Linked DNA regions of Rattus norvegicus. The protein of the gene in region 2 interacts with the protein of the main gene of each other region in a biochemical or structural test. Links are inferred from orthologs where the notes say so. Each region holds a gene or a part of one and is shown on either strand. Other genes may lie near its edges.

The links.
Region 1: the proteins of Prmt5 (region 2) and Coprs form a complex in vitro, tested with the Homo sapiens proteins (3 studies listed by BioGRID, with this or other methods). The link is inferred for Rattus norvegicus from reciprocal best matches to the Homo sapiens genes PRMT5 and COPRS.
Region 3: the proteins of Prmt5 (region 2) and Snrpd1 form a complex in vitro, tested with the Homo sapiens proteins (2 studies listed by BioGRID, with this or other methods). The link is inferred for Rattus norvegicus from reciprocal best matches to the Homo sapiens genes PRMT5 and SNRPD1.

Annotation. Positions count from the first base shown.
Region 1 is NC_086034.1:82,420,847-82,426,197, reverse strand, and holds the start of Coprs (coordinator of PRMT5 and differentiation stimulator), read right to left. Parts: upstream 2,719-5,351; 5' UTR 2,693-2,718; coding exon 2,624-2,692; intron 290-2,623; coding exon 223-289; coding exon of another isoform or gene 219-222; intron 1-218. UniProt on the Homo sapiens protein: Histone-binding protein required for histone H4 methyltransferase activity of PRMT5.
Region 2 is NC_086033.1:31,944,268-31,949,527, forward strand, and holds the start of Prmt5 (protein arginine N-methyltransferase 5), read right to left. Parts: upstream 4,046-5,260; 5' UTR 4,032-4,045; coding exon 3,922-4,031; intron 3,313-3,921; coding exon 3,194-3,312; intron 2,892-3,193; coding exon 2,806-2,891; intron 2,268-2,805; coding exon 2,133-2,267; intron 1,509-2,132; coding exon 1,396-1,508; intron 1,267-1,395; coding exon 1,217-1,266; intron 235-1,216; coding exon 71-234; intron 1-70. UniProt on the Homo sapiens protein: Arginine methyltransferase that can both catalyze the formation of omega-N monomethylarginine (MMA) and symmetrical dimethylarginine (sDMA), with a preference for the formation of MMA.
Region 3 is NC_086036.1:1,967,116-1,972,466, forward strand, and holds the start of Snrpd1 (small nuclear ribonucleoprotein Sm D1), read left to right. Parts: upstream 1-2,558; 5' UTR 2,559-2,675; coding exon 2,676-2,689; intron 2,690-5,199; coding exon 5,200-5,276; intron 5,277-5,351. UniProt on the Homo sapiens protein: Plays a role in pre-mRNA splicing as a core component of the spliceosomal U1, U2, U4 and U5 small nuclear ribonucleoproteins (snRNPs), the building blocks of the spliceosome.

The DNA.
Region 1 (5,351 bases), on a different chromosome or scaffold from region 2:
ACACCAGATGCTTTTCATAGTCTCAAGCTGTTCCTCCCAGTGAAATGGGGTGGTTTGGATCCACGGGCATCCAGTACCTCCTGGAAGCTTGCAAACCAACAGTTCCACTCAGACAATGGGCAAAGAGGGCTGGCCAACACGAGAAGACAGACAAGACAGAGGGACCGTGCTGTTTCCCTCCATCTCTTCCAGGGGACACCCCAGTCTCCACCGTCTACTTGCCTAGTCGGTCCACGTCTAGCTCAGTCTCTGTCTCCCCACCAGAGAGGTCAGCTGTGGCAAGACCAGCCTGTGGAAGAAGAAATAATCACCAGGAAACTGGGTATGTGGGGCGTGTCACTGCTCTGAAGCCCCAAACCCTCCCTCCCATACTGCCCTGCGCAAGGCATCACCCAGCAGCACTTCTCCGCTCTGACCACTGGGTGTGCCCTCCTGCAGTGGCCAACTGACAGATGCTGGCTTTGCTCTCACCCCTGGGCCCTCTTCAGAAGTCTGGGCAGCAGGACTTCCCCAAGCTCACAGACCCTGAGGCTAGATGGGACAGCTCCCTGGACTCAGTTTGTAACCTCAGGTCTGTGGAAACTCTTTCCTCTAAGTTTATGAACACTTCAACTGCCCTAACTTCATCTCTCTTCTTCTTGGCTAGGATTGACTGCTGTTTCCCGATCCTGCAACTTCTCTGCAAACCTTTGCCTTTTTCAGTTCTTTGTCTCAATGTCTAACAACTCCTAACAAAGCCATGCCCGCAGTGGTCCATGGGGGAAGCCGCCTGAGTTCTAAACACTGGAAGGAATACCTAATCCCCACTGCCAACCAGGAATGTTATGCCCTGTTACTTCAAAGTTCCCCAAACTTTATTCCCCCCAAGATCTCTCTGCAGTGGAACCCGTAATGTCCAGAGCGTGGATGGTCAGGCAGAGTTCATTCAGTCTTAGCCCTGCCATTCATTCAGGGTGTGACCTCTAGAAACAGAAATGGTTGTTATGTCCTGGGAGGGGTCCTATGATGAAGGGACATTCATAAAACATCCACTATGGCTTGGAGACAGAGCTCAGTGGGAGAGTGTTTGCCCTGTGTGCACAAAGCTCCACACTGACTTTCCAACCCTACATAACATACTACAGGTGGGTCATACTCAGAATCCCAGCATCTAGGAGGGAGGGGCAGAAGGGTCAGAAATTTAAGATCATTCTTGGCCACAAAGTGAGCTCAGATCCTAGGCTACATGAGACCCTATCTCAAAAAAAAAAAAATTACAATAAAATAAAGCCAACAACAATAACAAAACCACCTGTTAAGACTTCAAGGAGGTAACATTTCTTTGACTTTAATCCACTTATTTATTTATTTATATATTTACTTTATTTGTATATAATTGTATGTGCGAATCTACCAGGAGGATCCCTGGAGAGGGAGTTGCAGAGGGCTGAGACATCTGTTGTGGGTGCGGAGAACTAAGCCGAACTCTGTAAGACCACCAAGGTTGTCTCTCCGGCCTTAAGCACCCTTCATCCTGCATGTAAACTGTACTTAGCACTCACCCAAATTAGCGTTCATTATCTAGTCACTCCTGAGCTTTAACAGCTCAATTCATCTCTTGTAGTCAGTGATAACCATGGGCCACTGTTGCCCCCCTAGGAGCTGAACGTCTTATGTGAACCTATGCCCATCTCTCTACTCCTGCTCACTCTTAGCAAGTGTAATCACTCCTCCACTCAAAACCTTCACAGGCCCTCTGCTGCCATCACAGACTGGCGATGGCATCCATATTGCCTCTCACGTTCCTCAACTTGCTGAACACAGTCCTCTTCCTGAAAAAGGCCTGCCCTCCGACCCAAGCTCCAAGGCCATTTGCCCCGTACTTTCTCATATCCAGACCTTTGCTGGGCCTACCTTCTCACCCAAAAACATCCTTTCCAGCTCCGCCCTGACTTTCTATTTTGCAAAAGTAATTTTCTTTGCAAATCTATTGGTGCTGTCGCTTCAAGTACCATCTGATGGTACAAGTACTGATGTCCAAGTAAGCATTCCACTCATACACCCAATTAGCATATACGTTGTGCCAGGTACAGGCGTGGCTTCTGGTAAAAAGGATGCCTACAGTCAAGAAGTCACTGGAGAGGTAGACGCAATAAGGGCAGGTCGTGGGAAAAGGCTGCATTGGCGGGCACTTGAAAACAAGTTTCTGGAAACCCCGTAACACGACGGGCTCTTTCGTTTTGTCAAATGGGGAAAAGCACGGGTGACATCAGCGGCACATCCCTATCAATGGCCAGAGGTCCTCAAGGTAAGGTTAAAAAAAAAGATGTTTCCTCGCCGCTCCCGCCTGACCCGGCCCCCTGCTGCTGGAACCAGCTCGGGGCGGCCAGCTCCGCGTTCTTTGCATTCACTCCCGCAGGAGCTCCCGAGAAGCCCCGGTGTTCTCTCCCTCCCGCGCCAGCCACAGCCTAGGGCTCGGGTCCACGCGCGTTTCCGCGCCCACCGCCGTTACCGGACAGGCTCTGCGCGCACTCGCGCGGCCCCGGCGTTTCCCGGGTGAGCGGTCTCTCCGGAGCGCTCGAGCCCCTCGACTTCCAGCCCGGGTGGTCGCGGGTGCCCGCATCCCCCACCCCGTGGCGCTCACCTCCGCGCTGGGGGCCTCCCATGCACTCGGCTCGCCCGGCCCCGGACCGGTGGCTGCCTGAGGGTCCATGCCGGGCCGCCCACAGCCAGGCGCCCGGGACGCTCCGACACGTGACGGCTGACAGGCTGCGGGCGAGCCAATCGGCGCGGCGCTGCGACCGAGGGGGCGGGGCGGCGCAGGGGCAGCGCCGGACGACACGCCCACCTGCGTTGTTCCGGACCGCAGGCTTTCCAGCCCTATCTGACCTCAAGCGCTGGTTTAGAAGAGCCTTAGGCCAGACTGGCCACTGAGCGTTCCTAGGCACCCGGGACTCCCCAACCGCAGTGTGAAATGACCCGAGAGCATATAGAGCCCACCCGGCTGTCACACAGTCACAGCCTCTGGGCTCCATCACTTTCGCTCTTCCCCATCACACGGTTTTCCAGATCGCCCTCTGCACCTGCACTACAGCATCTCTTAATGAGTAACTCAGCAGCCTGGAGAATTGCTGCTTTGATTTAAGGATAGTCTTTAAAGCCAATCCGCTAGGAACCCGGATAAAGGATCAAAACAAACTACGTGCCACCACAAAACGTGGTGTGTCATCGAATTTGGAGTCAAAGCCAGTGCTCCAAGTCAGTAATGTGACTATGTTGAATAATTCTCCGTTATAATTCTCCGTTTTCCATTTTCGTCTTTCCATGATTAATCTGGCTATTTTTACTGGCATATTGAGTACGGGTAACTAACCTAACTTCGGACACGGGTTGTTAACACCCCCTCCCCCAACCCCCTTCCCGCAGTTCAAAACCGTTGGGTGATAGAAACTGACAAAGCTGTCTTTAGTGGTCAAAGTCCTACAGTGTACAGTCTGGTTTCCCCCTAATACCTCAAAAACATAAGTCAGCGGCTAGCTGGAGATAGCAGTGTGTGTGTGTGTGTGTGTGTGTGTGTGTGTGTGTGTGTGTGTGTGTGTGTGTGTATGTGTGTGTGTGAACAACCCAGCTGCAGAGACAGCCTTTACTGCCTCCGCTCCCCCACAACAGCCTAAACTCCAGCAACAACACATGTCTACTACACATATAAGTTGGCGTATACATAGACATAAATACTAGAGATGAAAATTTCCCACCTGGGCTAACAGTGCTTCTTTAAGAGCCATCAACCGTCTAACAAAAATCCCAAGACCAGGCGTGAATACACCCCTTTAAGTTGCTGGCGAAGGTTGTCCAAGAGACGACTATCAATATATTATAGGCTCTTGCTATTGCCCTTGGCTGACCTTCATAGGTGAAAAGTAAGTTCCTACGGTTGAAGACACCATATACTTAAACGCAGGGTCCAGAGGCCCCTGACTGGAACTTAGCTGAAAGCCTCCTCCCTGAGGGATCAGCTTTCATGATTCCAGAAGATGCTATGCAAGCTTCCAACGGAGGAAAACAACGGATAGTTCTACCTAGCTATGAGACCTATGGACCACGACAGTGACCAGCACGGCACAATAATCCTCACAGAGCAGTAATGGTGTGTATGCCTCGGCAGTAACCAACAGCGTTCTAATTGGACCTAAAACCTGCTCGACAAGAGGGGAATCATACTAAGTACCAGAAACCCAGCCAACTGCTCGGTGTCAGTTAAGTGTGGCTCTTGGAAGAAAAGCAACAACCACCATGTTATGAAACCAGCATGATACTTAATTACTATGATACTTAAATACATGATAATTAATTACTCTAAATATCTGTCCTCAGACCCACAGACAAGTCCAGTTTCAGTCCTCATCGAGGAAACTCTTTGTAACAGATGGAGACCATTCCAGAAAACCACAACCAGTCAACACGCAGAGCTGTGGAGCCCAGTACCAACAGAAACATCTACAATACAACTCCCACACCTGAGGCTCAGGATCTCTGCAGAAGAGCGAGTGGAAACAATGTAGGAGCCTAAGTAACAGTTTTCTGTGCCATTGTGTCTCTTAGAAGTGTCAGAGGTCCCAGCTAGACAGTTTCACCAACATAACTGCCTGATCATGAGCTGGACAAAGATGAGACCAGTAGACACGGGTAGGGGAAAGCTCCCAGAGCTCCACCCTGCACACAGGCAACTAAGGATGCTGAGAGTGGGAGAAGCAGTCTTCCCAGGAAAGAGCACCTTTGGTTAACCAGTACCCGATGGTCTGCCCTGAAACACAGATACACATACAAGTAACACGGTATAGACTGAGCAGATTGGATTTAGGTACACATCCACACACACATTTCATACAACACTTACACACACACATTCACACAGACATGTACACACACACTTCCCTCACACATCCATACACATACACACACATATATTTCACACATACACACATTTCATACAACACATTCACACACATTCACACAGACATGTACACACACATTTCTCTCACATTCACACACATGTATACACACACATTCCACACATAACACATTCACACATTTCTCTCACATTCACACACATATATGCACACACATTTCTCTCTCTCTCTTTCCCTCTCACATACACACACACACACACACACACACACACACACACACACACACACACGACTAACATGTTTCCCAGGAGATACTTGCTTCGCATTGCATGATTACCATCCCTACAGCAGCTTGGAGAAAGGGTTGGACTAAGGAATCAGAAATATTTACGTGCCTTCTAGCTTTATTTTAAACAGGAGTCTTGCTGTATAGCCCAAGTTCAGTTAGAAATCTGGGTCTTC
Region 2 (5,260 bases):
ACCTGTCCCTCCCCCACGGGGTGAAAGTCACACTCCAGTGAGTAAGTCAGGAGAGGCCTGGGCCACCCACCTTGAGGAGCCGGAAGATCAGCCTCTGCTGCATCTTAGAAAGAACAGGAAACCCCTTCTTGTTGGTTAGGAAAATGCTGGTGGGGAGAATGGCGGCTTTGATGGGCTCTCCAAGCCAACGATCAATGACGTGACTAGACGGGAGGTCAGCTCCGATTTCAAGAGCTACACAAAGGAAGAGAAAGATCACCTGTGGGTGAGCAGGGAGCCTGCCCTACTGGGTGCAATTCTTCTTCCTTCTGTTGAGCACAGGGAAAGCAGTCAAGACACCTAGGATACACATGGAACTCACTTTGTTTTCCTTTTCTCAGACAGATTCTTACTGTAGTCTGTATGGCCTAGAAGTCACAGAGACCCACCTTCCTCTGCGTCCCATGTTCAGGGATTAAAGGTATATGAAAACAGAATGGCCACCTGGTTGTATTTTCAGAGTGGGTCTCAGGTAACCCAATATAGCACTGAACTTTCCGTGAACTCTCATCCTCCTGCCTCCACCTCCTAAGGCTGGAATTGCAGGCATACGCCATGACATCTGACTGCATGTGCACTGTGGGTCTTACTCAGGGGCTTCCTGCATCTAGACCTGATCTAGATTCCACCACCTGAGTTACACCCCCAGCCTCATGAAATGGTTCCTTTTCATAGATTTACTTTGTGTGTGTGTGTGTGTGTGTGTGTGTGTGTGTGTGTGTGTGTGTTGTGTATATGTGCACATATACCACGTGTGTACCATGTGTGTGCAGGGGTCCATAAGGCCAGTCCTGGAACTTTCTAAACTGCTGATTCTAACTTTTGTTTGAGACAAGGTCTCTCTGTATAGGCTTAACTGCCCTGGAACTCAATCTGTAGACCAGGCTGGCCTCAAACTTGCAGAGACTTGACTGCGTCTACCTCCTAAGTGTGCACCACCACTGCTTGGCTTGCTTTTTGTTTTTGTTTTTGTTTTTTTAAAAAATAGGGTCTGTCTACATAGTCCTGGCTATCCTGGAACTCATTATATAGACCAGGGTAGCGTTAATTACACTCCCAGAGATCTGCCTGCCTCCAATTCCCAAGTTCTGAAATGAAATGTGGTGGGCCACCATGCCCAGCCTGCTGATTCTCATTCCCAGGAGGCCACTTACATCTCAGAACCCTGTGGACTTACCTACTGCAATCCTCTTACTATAGTCACACAGAGTCCGGAAGTTATGCCACCTGCCCAGAATCAGAAACAAAGAAAGACCCTGTCAAATGCATATGGCTTATAACTCAAGGAACACTCGAAATCCGTTCCCCATAGTCCTCACCCCGCCCTGTGCAGGTAAAGCAGCAAGAGAGACATACCACAACCACGTCTTCTCCTCTCCACTGTACTCCTCTGTGTGTGCAGTTGGTGCATTCTCAATTACATCATCTCTCAGGTCCTCTGGGGCCACCAAGGGGACCCTCATCCAGAACTAAATATGAACAGGTACCCTGTTAAAGCGCTGTTTCGAACTCAGTGGGTCCAGAAGTTAATCTCTTTATATGCTTTTCTAAAGATTTATTTATTATATTTATTATATAGAAGTACACTGTAGCTGTCTTCAGACACCAGAAGAGGGCATCAGATTTCATTACAGATGGTTGTGAGCCACCATGTGGTTGCTGGGATTTGAACTCAGGACCTCTGGAAGAGCAGTCAGTGCTCTTAACCACTGAGCCATCTCTCCAGCCCTATATGCTTTTCTAAATGTGATTACACGTGTTTGATCTCATACATATCCTTATACAAAGACTTAGCTTGTCTTTTACTTTAAATAGAAATAATTAAGTATTTTCTCTATCTTTAGTTTTATAGTACTAAGACTCAAACCCAGAGGCTCCTGTGTGCTAGGCAAGTGATCTACCACTGAGCCACATCTCTAGCCCCATAAGCTATGTTCTGAAACTCTCTGCACACCGCTTTTAGACGGGGTGGGGGAAGAACAGTACTGACATTTCAATTCTGCCAAATGCACGTGGCGGGGGGCGGGGGGAGCATAACTGGGCAAAAGGTACAGCTAGCGTGATACACAGTAGGAAAGAACCCTCAGTCATACCATGGAAGAATGGTGGCCAGTGTGGATGTGGTTGGTCAGAACTCTGGCCAGATTTGTGTTATCTTCCTGATTAAGGGGCAATAGGAAAGCTGGAAGACCTAGATATGCCCCAAAATTCAGCTCCTGCAACATAGCCTGAAACATAGGATGAAAGAAAACCATTAAGAGCTAAGAACCAAATACTTCTGGGGTAAGGTAGAGTAGAAACTGGCTCTGACACTGTGGCCCAGGCTGTTCTGGAATTTTCTCCATAAGTCAGCTTGACTTGGAATCTGAAGGAGTCCTCACTCACTCTCCAGAATGCTAGGATTACGGCTGTAAGCTGCCATACTCCACCAGAGCCAAACGTTTCCTCTTTTGAAACAGGGTCTGGAATTCAGCGATTCGCTGAGTTGGAGATGTACCTCTGTTGAGATTATAGATGTAAGCCATCACACATTTCTTCAGACACTTAACTGTACTATGATTTACCAGGTTACTCTCCTAACCTAGTTTAGTGACAGAATTACTTTATGTCCTTTTCTTTTCCCCGCATGGAATTCTCAGTCCTCCCTCATTATCTTCCAGATGTGGGAATAGCCTCCCAGATGCTTGAGATTGCAGATAGGTGCCACAATACCCAGGTCAGGCCTAACTTTTAAAGGGATCCCACAGAGAAATTAAACTGCCTTACCGCCTCAGAGTTCCTTCGGATCTTCTCCACTTTTGAGTCTGGATGAATCCATGGAGAAAGCTTTCCCACAATTAGCGTATTCCAGTCTGCACTCCCCCACCCAAGAAAAGACAAAGATTCAATGGGGTTTGGCATTTTCTTGCTCAACTTCTAGTTCTCAGCAGAGAGTAAAGAGGTGAAAAGCAAGACTTTTTTCTCTCTGATAGAGGGATAGCCTGATGAAGAATGGGGGGACTGCAACTTTTAGAAAGAAAGGGGAAAAAAAGTTGTTATTTATGTCATAGGGGCTAGCCAATATATAACCAAATCAGAGGAGGAAAATTAAGTCCTATAAAGCAGAAGATATTACTGCCTCTAATAATTAAGGGGCACAGGGTAAGGTCCCTACCCCTTCCTGACAGCAGTAGGTCTGATCGTGTCTGGGGGCCAGGCCGATTCTTAGCAGGTTCCTGAATGAACTCCCTCTTGAAACGCGGGTGGAAGACAGGCATGCAGAGGAAATCAAACCTACAACCGTGACAGACCCAGAATCATCATGTAAAGTAAGGGCCCAGAGATCCAAGCAACTGGGATATTAATATCTTGATTTTGCACAGTTCCATAAAGCCATCATCAGTCACCCCACGGGCTATTGAGTTCAGCCCATCTTGGGACACATCACTTTCACAACACTGTGCATCAATTTCTTCCCAAAACACAATCATGAACCGATGAGCAAGAAATGGACATAGAAGTCAAGTAGATTTCTTTCTTCCCTGACTTCACTGGCTTTCCAGGACTGTCAAATTTAGACCTGTCCCAACACTGCCCATGCCTCCTCAAGCCAGATTAACCTCTTCTCTCGCTCGCCTCCTTATACTTCTCTCTACTCTCAAATAATCCGTCTCCAAGGCCTACTGTACATCCCTTTTTAAATCTGCCCTGTAACTCCCCTGACTTTTGAACTCCGTGACCACACGCCCCCCAGAGTTTCAACCTCTCGTTCTTGGGGCCGAAGTCTTCCCCACTCAAGGAGTAATGGTGTCTCAATCCCTCATCCCCTGCGAGGTACTAGTCTGCCCTCCTTGTTCCCCAAATTTGGATCCCGCACTCCTCTGGAGGAAATCCGGCCCTCACCCCTGCTTGGCCACAGCACCCAGTGTGTCAGCTATTTCAGGGACGCAATTCAGGTCCCTCCCGCTGGACACGCGGCTGCCACCAGCACCTCCGACTGCCATCGCCGCCATCTTTTCCCTCGCGCAGCCCACGCCGGGATTCCTTGCTATTAGAGGCCAATCACAAAGCGGAGAACAGTCCCGGGGAGGCGGGACAAGTCGCCTTAACAACCAGAGCGTCTTTACAGCCCCAAAGCGGAGGTGGAGGGACCAAGTCGCTGCTCCCACCAATCCGCAGACCGCACAGTGACATGGGCGTGGCACCCTTGCTCTACCAATGACAGGCTCTCGTTGCTGACGCTCTGCAATCTCCCAGAATGCCCAGTCCATCTGTAGCGCTCTAGTGAGACTACAGGTCCCATGCAGCCCTGCGGGATAAGTCTGAAGTATCATTATTGGGCCGGCCTGTAATGTCTGCGGGCCAGTGGCGCAATGGATAACGCGTCTGACTACGGATCAGAAGATTCCAGGTTCGACTCCTGGCTGGCTCGTTGGGACTGGTACTCCTTTATTTGCATCCCTTGCTAATCTAATCATCTCCCAATGTTGCTACTTCAAAACGTCTTTCTTTTATATCCTCTGCTATTTCTTTCACGCTGTGGTTTTCAGGTCTTGGTTCGATTTTGCACCCATCTAATGCTGGCCTTTCTCATTCCTCTCTTCAAAGCTGTTTTGTATATAATCAAGTTATTCTGAGTATGAAAATTTTGGTGACTGGACTATTAAAATGAGTTTTGTCTCATTGTTTTGCTACACTTAAAAAATAGACTGTAGTAAATCACCCACTAATTCCTACTGATTCTGTCCCAAACACGAATGTAAGTAAATATCTTCGCGTGCGCACACACCTCAGAGAAAAGAAATTCACCAGAAATTACAGTGCCCAGGAACCATGAACCTGCATTTCCCACTCTTAACAGCTGCTCGCACGAGCAAAAGGAAATTACAGAGGCAAGGAAAGACCTAGGAAGGGAAAAGGGAAACACATCCCTGAAGACAACAAGCCCATAGATACTGAGGGCCCTCCAGCCAATCTGACGGAGTTCTTTTCTCAGCTGAAGTTCCCTCTTCCCAAATAATTCGCCTTGTATTACACTGACTTAAAAAAGCAAAAACAAAAGCAAAACAAAAACTAATCACGATATCCACGACAGGAGACATTGACAGAATTCAGGGACTAACTAACAAGGAGCCAGGAGAAAATAATTAATGATAATGATAATAATAATAATGACAACAATGACGACGTTCATCGTTTTGTCCCTGCAGTGGGTAGAGGTCAGGGAGAATCGTATTTGGGG
Region 3 (5,351 bases), on a different chromosome or scaffold from region 2:
GAAAGAAGTTTGTTGTAGTCAACAAAGATGAAAAAGGAGTTGAAGATCCGAAGACCACACTGACATCAGACATGGAGATGGCAGAGTTTGACATTTGCCCAGCTGGTTGCCTGTCTTAACTGCGGGATTACAGTTAAGTGATTGGATGGATCTTGGAAGAGACTTTGAACTTTGGACTTTTAGCATTGATAATACTGCTATAGACTATGGGAACTTTGGAAGTTAAACTAAATATACTTTTTTTATTATGCTGTATTTAGGTATGGCCTCATAGGTATAGACTCATGTGTTTAAACAAGCCTGTGGAAGCCAGGGAGTGGAATGTGATGGTTTGTATATGCTTGGCCCAGGGAGTGGCACTATTAGAAGGTGTGGCCTTGTTGGAGGAAGTGTATCACTCCTTCTAGCTGCCTGAGAATGCTCATTCTGTTCCTGGGTTCCTTCAGGTGAAGATGTAGAATTCAGCTCCTCCTGCACCATGCCTCCCTGAATGCTGCAATGCTGTCATGCTCTCCCTTGATGATAATGGACTGAACCTCTGAACCTGTAAGCCAGCCCCAATTAAATGTTGTCCTTTATAAAACTTATATTGGTCATGGTGTCTGTTCACAGCAATAAAACCCTAACTAAGACAACTACCACATCTGGTTTATGCTGTGCTGGAGACTGAACACAGAGCCTTTGCCTGCTAGACAAACACAACCAACTGAACTATATCTCTAGCTCAGGATGTAGTTTTCTGCACTTGCTTATCACAACAAGTTCTTTAAATGGGTACATTGCCCCCAAGTCATCACATTCTCATTTCCTTGTTCTTTTTTTGTGATCAGTATAACTGCCACAGCATACAAACCTCTGCCAACTCACAGAGGACACAAAACCCCACTTCCAGACTTGACCCTGTGGGTAGCAGCAAATAGAGCATGTACTTTGTTCAGCCCTTGTTGCTGTCTTCCCTTCGGAGCACACATTCATACTGCAATAGAGTGAGAATTATTTTACAAAGTTCAAGGCTGCAGCAGTATTCTTCCTGCTGTCCATCCTTACCCTTGAAACATACAAAAATATCAAGCTACAAAATAAAAGACAAAAGAAAAATGTGTTTGATATTCATCTAGAGACAATGGCTTTTCTCTTTTGGGGGGACAGGTTTCCTCTATTTGACAATACGTTTTAACTAGATTATAACATTACATGTACAAACATCTGAAAAGAAGAGTGAGCTTAATGAACTATGAGATGTTAGACATTCCTATATTACTGAGGGGGAAAGAGATGGGTTAGAAGGAAGATGACCCCAAGTGGAAAGGGGATTTGTGGGTAAGAGTACCAGTTGCTCAGTATTGGCATTACTGCATTGAGTGATATGCACAAGGTCTCCTTCCTTATAAAGCGCACGTTTTAATGGAGAGAAGCATCTAATTGTTCATGCATATCAATAGAGGACTATAGATTTAAAGAATAAAATAAAATAAAGGACTATAGATTTATCTTGACATTACTAAAATTATTTTGAGTGGAAACTATCAAAATTATCCCTGAGTCACCATGGTCAGCTTCCCAGAATAAAATAGACAAATCACGAGAGAGTTGTCTGAAGCTTTATGACAAGACCTTGGCCTAAGGATGTACCTGACTCTGATTAGCTTGAAATAGACAAGAAATACTCTTAGTTGGGTGAAATCTGGTGATGCATGCTGGCCCCAAACTTGCACCACCATGCCTAGCTCTGAAATAACTTTCACCTGTTTATACCCCACATACCTTCTAACCCTAATCACAAGGACCTATGTGCTTTTCCTGATGCCCAGGCCAATGTATCTGTTGTAAGTCACCCATAAACTGCACACTGCAATTCTGGGCTTCCCTGCCTCCTCCTTTGATCTCATTGACCCGTGGGACCAGTTCCCATACATTGGAACAGGGGCGTTTTGTGACAAAAGCATATTCTATGAAAACAGTATTCTAGATATTGGAGAGCACAGTAAGCAGTTGTATTCCCTTGCTTTCAGACACAACATTCTCCTGAGGACCAAAAATAATACGTTTTAGAATCAAATGATAATAAATTAATATTATCCAAACTTCTTGTGATAGTGGAAATTATTTGCACTATATTTGTAATTATATCAATTGTAGATGTTGTGTTACTAAATTTAACTGTGTGGTTATTGCAAATAAGGAATTGGATTTTTTTAAGTCGAAGGACTTACTATATATAAAATGAAAGGTTTATTTAAAACTCTGTCCAAAGATCTGATTGGCTTAGCTTAGCCAACGAAAGACAACTTGCAGGATTGATTTCCCTGCTTCCAACATGTGGATCCCAAGGATTAGGCTCGGATCTTGGAGGGCTTCTCTCAGAACTTTTCCTCCTTTGACGTGTGAAAGTTCCAGGCCTTCACAACTGGTTTTAATAAATTCATAAGTGGTCTCGGACTCCTGCAGGTGTAGTCCACCAGCCCTTCCGCCCTCCGAAGGCGCAAAGCGCTCCTCCCGTCGCTAGGAGCCGCTGTCGCTCTCCCGGTCGCCGGAAGGCAGCGCGGCTTCCGCGTTCTCGTCGCGCATCCGCAGGTCTCCGCGCGCTCTTCCGGCCATTCATACTCCTAGTCTGTGGGTCTTTGGAGCCTGAATTCCGTGGACAGTTGGACTAGAAGGGAGACTGCGCCGCTAGGATGAAGCTCGTGAGGTGAGGAGGGTTACCTGGCTGGGGGAGAGCGGCGGGTAGAGAGTTTGGGCCAGCTTAGGAGGCCGGGCCGCTGTGCTCCCAGGGAGGCGGGAAAGCCGCGTGCGCGCGGCCTGCTAACGGCCTCCGGCGCCCGGGCCCCGCCGCGCCCTGCTCGTCGCCCAGAACCCTGGGCAAGGGACCGGCGCGTTCAAACCCCCTCCGGTCTTACAGGAATGAAGTGGCCAAGCCGTCTCTGTCCACTTCTCATCCGGCGACTTAAACGGAGCAGTGGTCCCTCCGTTTTCGTGGCGAGTCGGAGCACTTGCAGTGACGAGGATTTAGAAGTAGGATGGTTTTATCTGCAAATAACGACGCCGATTTGCAAGACGTTTTAGATTAAGTTCTCCTTAATTTTGACCGACCAAAGCATGTAACTCGTTAATGTAGGCTTCTGACTCAGGAAAGACAAAGTGTCTCTGGATGGGGCAAAAGGTAACAAGTTAATTTCTCCTGATTGCATAGATTATGTCGGAAGTGGAGCCTAACTAGAGTCTTGTTTGCTGGTTTGATTAATTCCAAACTTACAGACTTGTGGCCAAGTCTGGGGCAGGGTATATAATATCTAAGCCAGTTTTTAGAAATATTTAGTTTCTTGTGTCAAGACCTGTTGTAGTTGACCAGAATGCCTTTGGACACTTTAAAGTGCTTCCCAAGTGCTAGATTACAAGCATACATTTTTCTTGGTTTTGCTCATTAGAAAGTAAATTACTATTTGTGTGTGCTCGTGCACAGGTATGTTATAAGACAATTTTTGGTAATTTGTTTTTGCCTTCCACCAGGGTCTCAGGGATTAAAACTCAGGTCCTCAGCCTTTACAGCAAGTACTTTTTACCTGCTGAGCCAACTTGATGGCCCTGCTCAATATTTTAGTCAATTAATTGATTTTGTTAGTGGTAATGATTGGTTTTGGGGTGAGAGAGTGCGCGAGTGTGCTCCTTGGTTGGCTTGGTGCTCACTGTGTAGACCAGGCTGGCCTTGAATTCACAGAGATCCTCCTGCCTCCGCCTCCCTAGAGCTGTATTAAATGATGCACTACCATGGTTTGATTTAGTTTGGGTTTTGAGATTATATTTATGTGCAGGGTGGAGGGTGCCACAAATTAGGCAGAGGCCGGAGCATCTATGTAAATTCAAGTCCATCCTGATGAATTCCAGGATAGCCAAGGCTACACAGAGAAATCCTGTCTCAAAAAAAAAGAGTTGCATTTATTTATGGGGGAAGTTTGTGTGCACAAAGATGAAAGGACCCGTAGGAGGAGTCGGTTCTCCATTATTGGGATCCTCAGACTTGGCAGCAGCAAGCGTTCACCCTCTGTGCATATATACCGGCTTGCTGTGCTTCTTCCCAACACCCCTCCCCCACCGTTTTTTCTTTTTTTGCATAGATAGAAAATTGGGAGATTGTTAATTGTTACTGGTGAGGGCCTGCATAAATGGGTTTGTAACGGCAGAAAGTTGAAAACATCATTCACAGTGGGGTAGTTGACATTTCCATATAGTAGATTACTATCTAGCTCTTGGAATATTTATTTTTAGGGAATTATCCCCAGTGTAAACTGCTAAATAAGCTCCAAGTACTATTGATGCCATTAAAGAATAGCCTACTTTGTGTAAAGTAGAATCTTACATGTATGCTTGTGGGTTAGAATAATATCCCTGTTTACCAAAATGCAGGAAAAGAGAAGTTCTTTATTTCTACCATGTAATCTTATGCTATCAATTAGAATTCTATTTCCTTTTTGTGTCTGAAAATTAGTCTAGGGTCTTTTGTTTGTTGAGACAATTTCACTGTCACTATGTAAAACAGGCTGGCCTCCAATTCACAGAGACCCATTTGTCTGTCTAGCAAGCACTGGAATTAAAGGATGCACCACCACTCCCAGTGCTACTCCAGGATCTTGAGATATCTTCATTTAAGGTTGTTTTGTAATAGTCTCTTTCTAGTATTCTCTAGTCGGAAGCTCAGGACAGCCCAAGTTTACAGACTCGGGTGAAAGCTTATTTGAGTGCTCTGCAGCCTGTGAGCTGCAGGTGGACCCAGTAACGTCCAAAGATGCCAGAGGAAAGTTTATTGCTTCATTCTTTTATAAGTTTATGAGTTTGGTTCAGAAAAAGTTAAGCACTGTGTATTTATTATGAAGAATTATTTTTAAGATGTTTATTTTATGTGTGAATGTTTTATCTGCATGTATGCATCACAAATTTGCCTGGTGCCTAAGGTCAGCGTAGGCCTCCAGATCCTCTGGGAGCAAAGATAACAAATGTTTGTGAGCTTTCGTGTGAGTTCTGGGACTCAAACTGGGTCCTCTGCAAGAGAGGGGAGTGCTCTGCACTGCTGGTTAGCTATCCAGACCCCATATGAACTGTTGTGGCATTTTAAAGATTTTGATCTCTAGCATTTTTACTCTACCGACTTCATCAAAAGACTTAAAATGTTAAGGTAAAAAATCAGGACTTTATTTCTTTTTATAGATTTTTGATGAAATTGAGTCATGAAACCGTAACCATTGAATTGAAGAATGGAACGCAAGTCCATGGAACAATCACAGGTGAGAAGACTGTTTCTGAAATGTTTTTGTTTAAGGTTTTTTGTTTGTTGTTTTCTTCCTTGTGTTTGTTTAATG